3 linked regions of the Arabidopsis thaliana genome follow. The protein of the gene in region 1 interacts with the protein of each later gene in a pairwise test. Each region holds a gene or a part of one and is shown in the gene's direction. Other genes may lie near its edges.

Evidence for each region. Proteins that work in one complex are often made in the same cells at the same time.
Region 2: the proteins of GRXC1 (region 1) and AAP3 interact in a protein complementation assay, tested with the Arabidopsis thaliana proteins (one large-scale study listed by BioGRID).
Region 3: the proteins of GRXC1 (region 1) and Cand3 interact in a protein complementation assay, tested with the Arabidopsis thaliana proteins (one large-scale study listed by BioGRID).

What each region holds. Positions count from the first base shown.
Region 1 is NC_003076.8:25,284,522-25,288,243, forward strand, and holds GRXC1 (Thioredoxin superfamily protein), read left to right. Parts: upstream 1-1,655; 5' UTR 1,656-1,830; coding exon 1,831-1,934; intron 1,935-2,541; coding exon 2,542-2,630; intron 2,631-2,713; coding exon 2,714-2,812; intron 2,813-2,910; coding exon 2,911-2,996; 3' UTR 2,997-3,173; downstream 3,174-3,722. Other genes in the region: AT5G63020 (Disease resistance protein (CC-NBS-LRR class) family), read right to left, coding at 1-1,481. UniProt on the Arabidopsis thaliana protein: Has a glutathione-disulfide oxidoreductase activity in the presence of NADPH and glutathione reductase. Reduces low molecular weight disulfides and proteins.
Region 2 is NC_003070.9:29,074,339-29,079,075, reverse strand, and holds AAP3 (amino acid permease 3), read left to right. Parts: upstream 1-1,685; 5' UTR 1,686-1,823; coding exon 1,824-1,917; intron 1,918-2,067; coding exon 2,068-2,301; intron 2,302-2,385; coding exon 2,386-2,479; intron 2,480-2,585; coding exon 2,586-2,800; intron 2,801-2,893; coding exon 2,894-3,033; intron 3,034-3,124; coding exon 3,125-3,483; intron 3,484-3,580; coding exon 3,581-3,875; 3' UTR 3,876-4,197; downstream 4,198-4,737. Other genes in the region: AT1G77370 (Glutaredoxin family protein), read right to left, coding at 4,434-4,489, 4,584-4,737. UniProt on the Arabidopsis thaliana protein: Amino acid-proton symporter. Stereospecific transporter with a broad specificity for GABA, tryptophan and both neutral and basic amino acids. High affinity transport of cationic amino acids.
Region 3 is NC_003074.8:21,837,478-21,843,303, forward strand, and holds Cand3 (tobamovirus multiplication protein), read left to right. Parts: upstream 1-1,707; 5' UTR 1,708-1,856; coding exon 1,857-1,979; intron 1,980-2,457; coding exon of another isoform or gene 2,458-2,485; coding exon 2,486-2,536; exon of another isoform or gene 2,537-2,645; coding exon 2,646-2,679; intron 2,680-2,770; coding exon 2,771-2,857; intron 2,858-2,949; coding exon 2,950-3,001; intron 3,002-3,101; coding exon 3,102-3,285; intron 3,286-3,370; coding exon 3,371-3,466; intron 3,467-3,586; coding exon 3,587-3,647; intron 3,648-3,790; coding exon 3,791-3,855; intron 3,856-3,947; coding exon 3,948-4,022; intron 4,023-4,111; coding exon 4,112-4,187; intron 4,188-4,264; coding exon 4,265-4,440; intron 4,441-4,847; coding exon of another isoform or gene 4,848-4,871; exon of another isoform or gene 4,872-4,930; coding exon 4,931-4,972; 3' UTR 4,973-5,286; downstream 5,287-5,826. Other genes in the region: AT3G59080 (Eukaryotic aspartyl protease family protein), read left to right, coding at 1-942.

The sequences.
Region 1 (3,722 bases):
ATAAAGTTTTCTTTTTGCTTTCCAAAATCAGATGCTATCCACAATGCCATTTCTCGGACCACATCATGCATCTTCACCGTTTCTTGATTCTCCTCCATCAATAAGCATGAACGAACTAGAATACCGATAATTTCATAACCTTGGTTCTCAGCTTTACCTTTGTTTCTATCTATGAATCCCTCACCTATCCAGTAATCTACCAAATCATTTTTCTCAATGTTATGATCTTCTGGAAACAAAGCACAGTACTGGAAGCACAATTTGAGCTGTTCACTTTTTAAATTATCATAGCTGTACTTTAGAATAGGTAGAATCTCATCTTCCATACCTGAAAACTCAGCTGCAGATGAAGTCAAAACGTCGATTGCTGAACGCCATTCTTGCACTGTCCTTTTATATGCCATTGTTTCACCAATGACGTTAAGGGCCAATGGTAGGCCGCGACATTTCTTAGCAACTGTTCTTGCGACTGTGGGAATCTCAGGGTGGCTCCCTAATGTGATCTCTCCTACTTTCTTAGTAAACAAATCCCACGCATCATCCGGGGCTAAACACCGGACTTCCATATCGCTATCAACTCCCATCCGCCCGCAGATTTCTTTCAACCGAGTGGTGAATACTATTTTGCATCCGTTTTCTCTACTCGGAAACGGAACTCCCACCTCTGTTAAATCCACTTTACTCCATATGTCATCCAATAACAAGACAAACCTTTTGTGCTTTAACACATTGTAAATGTTAGATGCTTTTATGTCCTCTGTTTTCTGTTTCCACTTCTCGTTATCAGACCGTAACTTCTCCCATATCTCATCTTGGATCCTCTGGATCTGTAACTCTTTGGAGACCACAATCCAAATCACAATATCAAACTCGCCCCCAACTCTAGAGAATCTATTGTTGATATGACTGAGAAGTGTAGTTTTACCTACTCCACCCATACCATGAAGACCAAGAATCCCAATCTCATCTTCCATTAGACGGTTCCACGCACTCTCAAGCATTGGATCCATAGCAACCATAGGTCTAGTAGGCCTCTCTTCCACTCTTGCTGCATCAACTCTCTCAGCCACCACAGCGAAATCTCCCTGATATCGAAGAACCTCAACTTCCTCTATCATCTTCATTACTCTCTTCCCATAACGGTAGCTTGAGACAAGATTCTTGGAACAAAACCCACAAAGACACAACCTTTGGACTTGAACAGATCTCATTCTGACGAGTTCGTTAACTCGAGGTACTATTGCTTCAACTTTTGAAACCCATCCTTGCACAACAGAAAGTCGTTGTAAACCTCGTCTTTCTTCAGACAAAATCTTTCTCAACAAATCTTCTCGTCTTTGCTCAATCTGCTCAAGAGCTCTCTGCAGAGCTGTCAGATTCTCCTCTAAGCCATGAATGTAATCTCCATTCCTGTTTAAGCAACTACAAACATTCTTCGTCAACTGATCACATGATATTGATACAGAGACACAACCTCCCATCCTGCGTTTACACAAAAGAAGAAGTAAACTTGTGGCAGAGAACTAGAAGAAGAAAAAGGATAAGAGCTGCTGAGTTGTGAAAATTGACAATAATCCAAACTCTAAAGTCGTCGCTATTGTAAACTTTAAACAATATTCTGAAAAGAGAAATTTCTACGAAAAAAGACTAAAAGAGTATCATTTCAGAAAGATAACTTTTTTTCAACGCAAATAACTCTTTAATAAATATTGACTGAGGTTTGATTGAAAGAGATAAAAACTTCATTTGCCAGCAAGATTGGCACAAAACTCGAGCAGAGGACATCTGTAGGAGTTGTGTCGTGGTCGTCTTTGGTTAAGAGAAGAAGAAATGGGTTCAATGTTCAGTGGAAACCGAATGAGCAAGGAAGAGATGGAGGTGGTGGTGAACAAGGCTAAAGAGATCGTCTCTGCTTATCCCGTTGTTGTCTTCAGGTTTGTTCTCGTTGAAATCTCCCATCTTTTTCATCTGGGTATTACTCTTTTCGTTCGTGATTATGAATTTGTTGAGAAAATTGGATGTTGTTGCCTTGAGGGGTTTTGAATTAGTCAAAAAGTTTGAGTCTTTACCATCAGGGGGTAGAGTCTGCTTCTATTTGACGCAGAGGCACCAATGGATCATTGTCTGCTTGTTTTGTTGTTTCCATCTGTGAAATTAGGTCGTGAATGAAAGATCGAACATCATCTTATATTAGTGATTCTCCATCCAATTCAGAGATTATTTGTGGGTTCCCTAGACGATTAGGGATGTGATCATGTAATATATACTGATAGATCCAGTTCTCAAATTTGATTCTGACTAGTCTAGAAATCTTTGAAGAAGCTAGAGTTTTTGAAGATTGATCCGTGCAAGCTCCTATGACTGATTTGGGGATGCCTTTCGGAGTTTTGAAATGAAGCTTAATTTGTTGTTGCTTAGAGTCTTGAGTTTGATTTTGCTTAGTCTTAAAAGGAACGTATTTCTTTCCACTTTTTGAGATGGTCTAAAGGTTACTTTTCAAATGTAATGTCTTAGCTCTGATCCATATTTTCTCTTTCGCAGCAAGACATACTGTGGTTATTGCCAGAGGGTGAAGCAGTTACTGACGCAGCTAGGAGCAACTTTTAAAGTACTTGAGCTCGATGAAATGAGTATGAAACCAAATCCCTGTCAATACCTGTATATTAATATATCTCAATGAACCTGAATTATCTCGATGCTATGTTTACTTCAGGTGATGGAGGTGAGATCCAATCAGCTTTATCAGAGTGGACTGGACAGACCACAGTTCCAAACGTCTTCATCAAAGGAAACCACATCGGTGGATGCGATAGTAAGTGAAAAACCTACACAAATTCTCTGCACAATAATGGAAATTCGGGTTGCCGGAAAAACTAACTGCGTTTTTCGTGTTGCTTCTATATTTTGCAGGAGTGATGGAGACCAACAAGCAAGGCAAGCTTGTGCCTCTACTTACTGAAGCTGGGGCTATTGCAGATAACTCTTCTCAACTTTGATGAAACTCGAAACTAGTGTGTGAAGAGTGTGTGTTGTGTTTAGATCATGAAAAAAGAGGTATCGTCACATACTCAATAAAGAAAGATCATTCCCGTTGTTTAATACAGAATATCTAAGTGTATACTTTTCATGTTGGTGTTTCGGTTAATGGAATAAAACTTGAGAAATCTGCTCTAGTTTCTTGCTCTAAATTACTGAAGATTACTGGTTGCATCCCAAGTTGACTTTGTAGCAGGCCGGTCAAGTAGGTGGATTAAGGCTTTTGGTTGAACCAAACTTATCTAGTAACCGGCCGTGTAGGTGCCTTAAAGGCTGAAAAACTAATATTAGCCAAATCGATCAACGGAAAGTTACGATTGAAAGAGAAATGAATATTCGAACAGCAGAAGTGCATTTTCACTGATTTGTGTAATCCAAATTCGGATTCGAACAGCACAAGTACATTTTTCACTGATTTGTGTAATCCAAATTCGGAGAACCAATGTCCAATGGCAATGAATAATGTCAATTTGGTTAATCTAGATTTATTATAAAGTATAGTGCAAAATCGTAGTTTAAGAGAACTTGTGGGGTCAATTAGTAAATATTATCTAGAGCCGGTTAAAGAAGAGAAACTGAGGAAACTGAATTTGACCAGAGAGTGTGTTCAAGCGAAGCGTTGTAGAAGAAAAGACAAAGTTTTGGAATAAGCGGAGCAAAACCTAGACAGGCCCGTGTAAGATGGA
Region 2 (4,737 bases), on another chromosome or scaffold:
AAAAAACTGGTACATTTTGTATGCATTTTTGCGGTTATAAACTTTGGAATTGTAAAGAATGAACTAGATTTTAACCCGCGGTACACCGCGGAGACAATTTATTTTTTTAAATTAGTATATATAAAATTTTACAAATTATGTCTATCTATAAAATATTTTTATTTTATAGTTTATAATTGTTATTAAGTAACGTCCTTCTAAACCCGTTCCACCAAACTCGTCCTGTAAAAATAAACCGCGGTACCCCGCTAATTTAAATTTATAATTAAAATAAATATTTTACGGGATTGCAATTGTGTTTTAGTTTGTCAAACAAAATTTTGTTTTAAATAGTTGTCGAAATGTAGTTCAAATTTTGGAGACATAAGATTTAGTGAATAGATAAGAAATATATTTAGTTGCGTTTCGCTCATTTTAAGGGATTGCAATTGTCTTTTGGGTTGTCAAACATTTTTTGTTTTAAATAGTTGTCGAAATCTATTTCAAATTTTGGAAAAATCTGCGTGATATATGGGATTGGAATATATTTCGAATGTTTTTTTATTTGTTAATCAATTTATTGCTAAAAAAACAATAATTAAAAGCCAATGGTAGCCATTGTAAATAAATTCCAACTCCAGGATTTATTTCACAAAATGACTGCAACAATGTATATATAGATTCTATTTTTATGAATATAATTCCCTTTATATTTGGAGACTATTTCCTTTGAATGATGACTTGTCTGAATACAAATCTTCTCGTAAGTCCTTAAAGGATATTTGGTTTCCCACGAATCAAGCCAATACAAGTTTGTGTATGTCATTTATGTTTAAATGAGTTTAGTTGGCAAAGTAATCAAAATATTTCATTTCGAGAAGAACATATAGCTTACACGCCTCATAAGTTAGTTACCTACAGAAACTTATATGGTGGGGTGATATACTTTCGGATTCTAGGTAAGATATAGTATATGTGCGTTACTATTGCTCATACTATAAAAATCACCTTTTGGTTTTGAGTTATCATTTTGAAATCTACACATGATTGCGTGTACTCATTATTTAAAGTCGGCATAGATTTCTCCATATATATGTCATGATTCCATGAATGTTCTTTTAACATCTTAATGCGATAACACTTTACATTGAAATATTCAAGAAAAAACCAAGCTGTTTTCTAAATAAATTTAGTTTGTCCACGGTTAATAAAATTTAAAATTAGCGAAATACGTAAATAATCAAATGATATAACCAAAATGCCTATTATTTTTAAAACAACATTTTATTTTCTCTAATCTCATAAAATACTCTAATAAAATCTAGTTGTAAGTGAAAATAACACTAAGCTTCAAACACACACGTACATGAATGTTTGTTTTTTTCTTTCAAAAAAGCTGAACAATGACATTTTAAGTCCAAATGAAAACGATGGTATCATCTTGGACTTCCAATTTTCCATTGCCCATATTTTCTCTTTTCTTTTGTTTTTATCCAATTGGTATCGAATCATTCATATAAAATTATAAATCATGAAGTCAAATTTTTCAATAGTAACACTTGAGTAATAGTGGTCCTACCAACTTTTTACCAAGACAGATATATTTTTTTTAATACACTTTTTACCTTTTACTGTGTTTGCCTCAAATGAGTGTTTTTACCAGTTTCTGTGTATATAAATCTGCACTCCACTCTCAGTTTATCTTCATCCACAAGACAGTTCTTTAACAAAGTCATTAAACATTTCCCTTACCTTCTAAAGATCAACTCTTTCAAACACTTACTCTGCATGTAACTTCATAGATTGAACGAAGAACCAAAAAAACAGAGCAAAACAAACAAAAGATGGTTCAAAACCACCAAACAGTTCTCGCCGTCGATATGCCACAAACCGGCGGCTCCAAGTACTTGGACGACGACGGGAAAAACAAAAGAACTGGTAACAATGTTTCTCTCTTTCTCTTTAATTCATATTGAGACTTGGTTCTCTAATTATTCAAAAAAATATTAATTTGAACTCGAAACCTGCTCTGATTTAGTTATGTTGAAAAAACGAGAAAGTTGAAAGTTTTTAAATTTTGGGTTTTAGGGAGTGTTTGGACGGCGAGTGCACACATAATAACGGCAGTGATAGGTTCGGGAGTTTTGTCACTAGCGTGGGCTACGGCGCAGCTAGGTTGGCTCGCCGGACCGGTGGTGATGTTGCTCTTCTCTGCCGTCACTTATTTCACTTCTTCTCTTCTTGCTGCTTGTTACCGCTCCGGCGACCCTATCTCCGGCAAGAGGAACTACACTTATATGGATGCTGTCCGATCAAATCTCGGTAAATACAAAACTTCAAAGTAGAAATCGGACAATGGAGATCAGATCAGAACAGAGCATTAACATTTTTCATTGTTCTGTATAGGTGGCGTGAAGGTGACGCTATGTGGGATTGTTCAGTATCTTAATATCTTTGGTGTTGCTATTGGCTACACAATTGCTTCAGCTATAAGCATGATGTGAGTGTTCTCACTAATTAACTCTTAAAACTACGAAGTTAGGTAATGGACCAAATAGGTTTTGATGATAATAAAAAATAAACAAAATTTTGTTTTTGAAAAACAGGGCAATAAAGAGATCAAACTGTTTCCACAAGAGTGGAGGGAAAGATCCATGTCACATGAACAGTAATCCTTACATGATAGCTTTTGGATTAGTCCAGATTCTATTCTCTCAGATTCCAGATTTTGATCAACTTTGGTGGCTCTCAATCCTCGCCGCCGTTATGTCCTTCACTTATTCCTCAGCCGGTCTCGCCCTCGGCATAGCCCAAGTTGTCGGTTCGTTTCTTGAACCATAAAGCTTCTAGGGTCTTAAATAAGAACTTTCATAGGTAAAAAACTAATAGGTTTTATGTGTTTTGGTTTCATCAGTTAATGGGAAGGTGAAGGGAAGTCTCACTGGGATTAGCATAGGAGCAGTAACAGAGACACAGAAGATATGGAGGACCTTTCAAGCTCTTGGAGACATTGCTTTTGCTTACTCTTACTCCATTATCCTCATCGAGATTCAGGTACTTATACCTTCTTTACAAGTCTTGATGATCAAAGCCATTAATTACTGGTCCCATCATGAAGCTTTTTTTATTCTGGGATCTGAAACAGGACACAGTGAAGTCACCACCATCAGAAGAGAAGACGATGAAGAAGGCAACACTTGTGAGCGTCAGTGTAACGACTATGTTCTATATGTTGTGTGGATGTATGGGATATGCAGCCTTTGGAGACTTGTCTCCGGGAAATCTCTTAACCGGTTTCGGGTTTTATAATCCTTATTGGCTTCTTGACATTGCAAATGCAGCCATTGTGATTCACCTTATTGGTGCATACCAAGTCTATTGCCAACCTCTGTTTGCTTTCATCGAGAAGCAAGCTTCCATTCAATTCCCTGATAGTGAGTTCATTGCAAAAGATATCAAAATTCCAATTCCTGGTTTCAAGCCTCTCCGCTTGAATGTCTTCAGGTACAAATCTTGCCTTTAAACTAATGGGATCTGAGTTTTAAACATGATGTGTATGTAATAATCAAAGCTTCTGTGTGGCGTGGAATGGCTTACTCAGGTTGATATGGAGGACAGTGTTTGTGATCATAACGACAGTTATCTCAATGCTTCTTCCGTTTTTCAACGACGTTGTGGGTCTGCTCGGGGCACTAGGGTTTTGGCCATTGACGGTGTATTTTCCAGTGGAAATGTACATCGCGCAGAAGAAGATACCTAGATGGAGCACCAGATGGGTTTGCCTTCAAGTCTTCAGCTTAGGGTGTCTAGTAGTTAGCATTGCTGCAGCTGCAGGGTCCATAGCTGGAGTACTTCTTGATCTAAAGTCCTACAAGCCATTTCGAAGCGAATACTGATCAACTTGAATAGTAGCCAATTCAAAGCGATGACTAAGTCAGTTTTAAACACAATGGATTTATCAAGAACAGTCAAGAGAACCAAGAACCATGAATTTGGGAATTTTGATCAGCTTTTTTTTATATAGATAGAAGCAATAATGCTGTTAGTTCTTCTCTATAATCTTCTCTGTACCCTGAAGGCAAGAATTGTAGTCCTAATGAGTAAATCTTCGATTAATGACAGAGTCATGTGCTGCAACAGAATCATGAACTAGCACCATAATAGTATATTACCATTGTGGTAAAATTTCAATAACAAGTTCTTGTACTTGCTCTTCTTTCCATGATCTGATATTTGCCGTATGAACCATTCACTAAGGCACACAAGTATGGATTATTTAAGCGAAACAATCACCAGAGCAGTGCAGTAACAAAAGATCAAGACTTTATCAATGCCATCATAACTTACATAACTGAGTCATACATATCAATTCGCTTATTCAGTCTACAACTAGCAAAGATTTCTAATTCCTGTAAATCACATACTGTAGATTCCACATTCGAGGTCCTCAAATATCAACTTGCAGCAAGAAGCTTTTGCAACTGACCACTCTCCAAAGCAGCTCCAAGATCTGAAGCAACAAGATAAACAGCCAAGGCTTGTGAGTTACAAGGGAAATTTGGACAAAAGAATGAAACTTGGAGGAGATAGTGAGCTCATCATACCATCTGATCCACCAATATGCTTGCCGTTAACAAAAACTTGCGGGACAGTACGACGACCAACGAATTCTAAAAGCTCATACTGGATTTGATCTCCGTCCTCTGCAAAAACAAATCTCTCAGAAGTTTTAAGAAACAGTTCAATTCTCATAAACAG
Region 3 (5,826 bases), on another chromosome or scaffold:
ATAACTTGCAATGACCAAAGATGCAACCTAGTCTCATCACCTGACCCTCCAATGCCCTGCAAATCAGATAACCAATCATGCCCTTACTACTACTGGTATGGGGATAGCTCCAACACTACCGGAGATTTTGCAGTAGAGACTTTCACGGTTAACCTCACGACAAATGGAGGGAGCTCGGAGTTGTATAATGTTGAAAATATGATGTTCGGTTGCGGTCATTGGAACCGAGGTCTCTTCCATGGTGCTGCAGGCTTGCTTGGTTTAGGAAGAGGCCCGCTTTCGTTTTCCTCTCAGCTTCAGTCTCTTTATGGTCATTCCTTCTCTTATTGCCTTGTCGACAGAAACAGCGATACCAACGTTAGTAGCAAACTGATTTTCGGAGAAGACAAGGATTTGTTAAGTCACCCGAATCTGAACTTCACTTCTTTTGTCGCTGGGAAAGAAAACCTCGTCGACACATTTTACTACGTACAAATCAAATCCATTCTAGTCGCGGGAGAAGTTCTAAACATACCTGAAGAAACATGGAATATCTCATCAGATGGAGCTGGAGGGACGATCATTGATTCAGGTACAACCTTAAGTTACTTCGCAGAACCTGCATATGAATTCATCAAGAACAAGATTGCTGAGAAAGCTAAAGGGAAGTATCCGGTCTATAGAGATTTTCCAATCCTAGATCCTTGCTTCAACGTCTCTGGCATTCATAACGTTCAGCTGCCAGAGCTTGGGATTGCTTTTGCAGATGGCGCTGTTTGGAACTTCCCGACAGAGAATTCTTTCATATGGTTGAATGAGGATTTGGTTTGCTTGGCAATGCTAGGAACTCCCAAATCAGCATTTTCAATCATTGGAAACTACCAGCAGCAGAATTTTCATATACTCTATGATACAAAGAGGTCTAGGCTCGGGTATGCACCTACAAAGTGTGCAGATATATAATCTTTCTTGTCGATTTTTAAGTCCATCAAAGCAACTGAACACACAATAAGAACAGATTCATTTTTTTCCCTTTAGATTTTTTCATTCTTTAGGATATTCCTTCAAACATGTAATGTATTTGCTGTAGAACAAAGATCATACCAAACTAATGTACTTATTCAAATTCATTTCTGAATACAAAGTGATTTAATTTTGCTTGCTACATGCATTTTCTCAAACTCTATAGTCTACCATCAATGACAAGTAAATTTGTAGTCACTGGAATTGTCAAAGTTTGATTAGTAATCCCTGAATTGTTTGTGAGTTTAGGACTCACTTTGGTAAGGTTTTAAGGCAAAGGAGTTGTCAAATCATCGTCTTTGTTGATCCAATTTGAAAGAAATGCAGAAAATCTAGAGAAATTGGAAACTAAAGAAGCTTGAGTCTATTGCAGAACACAAACTATACAAAAGAAATCGGATTATGTACCTGAGCATGGTCGGAGAAGAGAGTTGCAGAAAAGAGGTGTCTCTGTTTTGCAAAAATAACTCGTTTAGTTCTGATTTTTACAAAAAACCCTCATTTTACATCTTCTAACAATAATTAATAATTAATTTTAGTTAAAGAGATATTGATTACTTAATAATTCTTTTAAGCCAAGAGTAATTAATTAATTAATTTATGGCAGTAATTGTTGTATATTCTAGTGTGCCGTACCACTTGTAGCAATTAAATTTAGTAGATAGTATATTGTGTTGTCCAGGAAATATATAAATATAAAAAATAATTTTTATTTTTGTCTCTCAGACCAGACCCAACCCATCTCCTACAACCATCTGTCTCGGTGGTGTTCTTTGATCCTCTCTCTCTTACAAACCTAAAATCTAGGCATTCGATCTCTTGGGGAGGATCGAGAAGAAAAGAGCGGATTCACGATGAAGATCTTAGCGACTCTTTTCGAATCAACCAAGGATAAATGCTATGCTCCTAGCTTCATCGCCGTCAATCTCTGTTTGGCTTTTATCGATGCCGCTCTTGCTTTCATCGCATTCCTTCAGGTTCTGATTCTTGGTTCTTCTGATTTCCTGAAAGAAAAAGAAAAAATCAGTCTTGATTTGTGAATGCTAGATTGTGTGTGACCGTTAAGGCCTGTTCGGACAGGTGAAGCATTGTGCTTATTGATTAAACGAGATGTGAGATTATTGATTCTTGATGTTGAATTTAATGAATTGGTTGATTTCAGTCTTTAGAGTTGTGTGTCTGTTGTTCATGTGGTTGACCATTAAGTTTAAAGGTCAACTCTATGAATAACTCACGGAGCTGAAGTGTGTTTGTGTAGAATGAGAGATTTGGATTCAGGGAATCTGAATATGATATGAATTATTAGCATTAGAAAGTAGAATCTTTTTTTCTTTTTTAAGTGCTATGTGTGTAGATTAAGATGTTCTTTTCAAAGGTTCCTATGTAGTTTTAGACGGTGAAGTAATAAAAAAAAAGTCTTATTCTCTTCTTTTTTTGTGGGGTTTGGCTTATAAGATTTATCTTGGCTGCCTACTTCTTTCAGTTATCTCGATTTCACAGGCGGAATAAACAAGTTGGATGGACTCGGCAAAAAGTATTTCTTCTCATCCCAACCAATTTAGGCTCTATGTTATTGTTATATGGTTACAGTTATTGTTACTTTTCATGGCGTGTATCTGACACATCCATCATGAAAATTGCAGGTACTTCATCTTATGATTGCTTCTTCAAACACTGGTAAATCCTCAGTCATTTGTTGTTCAGGAACAATTATAATTGGGGGAAGTTTTAGCCAGTGAGTAAGGTCTCTATTCGTATATATTGGCAGGTTCTGTTATTTATTTCGTGGCTGCGGTTATAGCGACTTGCACAAGGTGGCATCATTGGTCCAACGCATTAGGTTTTCTACTCATGGGTAAATATTTCATTCCTTTGTGAAGGTTTGTGTATGTTTTTCATTGATTTGTCTTATAGTTAATTCCCTGATGAATCAAATTGTACTTGCAGCCTTTCCCAAAATTCTGTTTCTGGCAACTTTTCTCCTGCTTCTCTCTTTCTGGTATGTATATTCTCAATACTCTGATCATATTGTGTTGTCCCTGATTATTTTATCTTAATAATGATCTGAGATAAGACAATGATGCTTCTTCATGTTATAGGGTAGATGTTTGCCATCAGGGAAATGGAGAGGAGGATGATGATGATGATGAAGAAAATAGCATCCAACAAGTGTTGCTTGAAAAAAGCAAGAGCAAGCCAGGTTCTTCGAATGCAAGTGATCGTAGAAAGTGTTGCTCTTTCCATGGTATTCATGTTGGAACCCGGCAGAAGTTTGTTGTTGCGGTATGGGATACTTTCAGTTTTGTGCATTAACCTCTAGCCAAGTCATTTCTATGATCTTTATAAAAATGTTTATCTTTTTTGCTAGGCAATTATTCTTGTGTTCATCTTAATGATATCATTTGCAATCCTTATCTGGATCGCTTCCGGAAAGAATCCTATGAATTCTTCATTATTGGCTGAGGTATGTGGTATTCCTCTGCACATTGATATTTCCTCTTTCACTAAGTTCTTAAGCTCGAGAAATAGAAGACTTTTGTCTATATTTTTTCTGGTTTTATGATAAACTCACTTCCTTATATAGGTGTATGTCGATATTTTTGCTGCAATAATCCTAATCACTGGAGGAGGAATCTGCTTCTATGGTAAGTGATTTCTTAAGTTCTTTTCTGGTTTCAGCTATTCATATTTTTCTTCTAGCAATTCGTGAGATGTTTTGGTCAGTGGTTTACTGGCTTATTGCTATGATTGAACAGCGTATATTCACAAACTCTTTTATGTTCTTTAGGCCTGCGTCTGCTCTTTAATCTAAGAAAGGTGCGGTCTGAACAAGTTTCATCAGAGATGCGAAAGGTAACTAATGATTCTTTGGCTCAACAAGCTTTTCTTTCTTTGCACATGTCAGTCGAATCCTTACCCTGAAAGTACATTTTAACCATTTATAGGTATCGGGTCTAGCAGGAGTCTCAGTTGTTTGCTTCACTGTTAGCTCTTTAATCGCTCTTCTCACACACATTCCAGTAAGTCATTATCACTCAAAAAAGTATGTCTGTAAACCGAAACCTAACATTCGTCGATACATTTAACCAAAACCAATCTTTGATCTCAGCTCTTTTATCATTGGAACCCAAGCAAATTACACGGCATCAAAGCATTGGTTCTTCTGATCATATACTATTTCATAGGTGAAGATTTTTTTCTTTCGTTTTGTTGTTTTGAAGACCTTCAAATGCAGGGTTACTGATAAGAACGCTTTTTAAAGGTTCCACCGTCCCATTGGCTTTCGTTTTATGGGTTTTGCGGGAGTTACCCCCTCAAAACATTGTGAGTAGGCAAGAAGACACCAGAAGGATTACTTATGTCAACTATGAAACTGTTCCAAGGCAACCTCAAGGTCCTCAACAAGACTGGGCCTCCGCCACAGTGTCGAAAAATCAGGTATACAATTCTCTTGATGAACATCTAAATTAGGAAGTCATGTCTGACACATACAAGGAGTTTTATAGTAAGCTGTAAATGCATGCATCAGATAAACTAGGGGTGGGAATATAAACCGAAGCAAACCACAATATTTATAGCTAACTAACTCTATTTAGATAAGAAAAACTCAAACCGTATGCTCACTTTTAAGATAAACGCAATGTTGAGAGCATTCGAGAAAGGTTTGAACGAATTGCGGTCTGAACATGAATACATAGTTGAAACACTACGAAAAATCCTCAAATGAGAAAGAAGTTTTCATTCTATTAGTGACTTCTGAGGTTATTTCAGAGTTTCCTTTTTATCGACCATAGATTGTTTAGGGAGGTCACTTAACAGTTTTTGGTTCGGAAACGACGGCGCAGGTGTCTAAAGCAAGTCCTATATGAACCAAACAATCATCATAATCATTGACCTGAAGCAAACATCCGCCAATCTTCTTTTGTAGTTACCGGGAAAAAGCCTCGTGGGATTGCAGAATGGTTCTTAGGCCCAATGTGGTGTGTTGTGGTGGAGTGAATGAAAGTGGAAACAAGCTCGTTTTCTTCTCTCTGAGTCGCCTTGGAATACAAAAATTTGTTTATAAGATAGAAATGGAGGTTTGAATCTGAGAAAGCTGTCTGTAAATATTAACTTTTGATTGCAATTTATAGTTTAGCATCATGTGTTGGGGGGACTTGTGGATGGATATAAAATGTGTTCCAAGGAAGATATAATTTTGTCTTCCTTTCTAAACAGCGTCGTTTAAGCTGCTTTGTTATCATTTACATATACGACGACGCATCATTCTGGTTTTAAAGATGGCATATTACGTTTGAGATTAAACGCCACCGTTTTCGAAAGATAGCACGGGCATTATACGATGTCGTATTGCTTCCTCTTTCGAAAATTTGTTAGCGCGATTTTGTTAAACTTTTAGCGCCATTTTTTTTCACATTAAAAATTTGAGACCCCGAAACGGTATCGTTTGTTGGATGTTATCCTAAAATTGACGGATCTGATATGAAAAAAAAAATCCTTAAAAAAACCGTTTGAGAACTTTTTGGATATTTGTGGTCTTCTCTTTTCGTCTTTCTTCTCCACTGTCACCTTCCTCGCTAAGCAAAAGAATTTAGAGAGAGCTTCGTACTATGCCCAGAGAAAAAAGCAAAAAGCGAGAGCCAAAAAGATAAGAAAGATCAAAAGATGAAAAAGCTTAGACGTAAAAAAGCAGAAATATATGTATATAGAATTAACAAGTCTCTCGAAGAAAACCCTTTAGCCATCTTTATCAATCTCTTTTCTTTTGCGTTCTCTATAAAGTTGGTATAAAAGGAGATCAATTAACAAATATGTTAATCGATT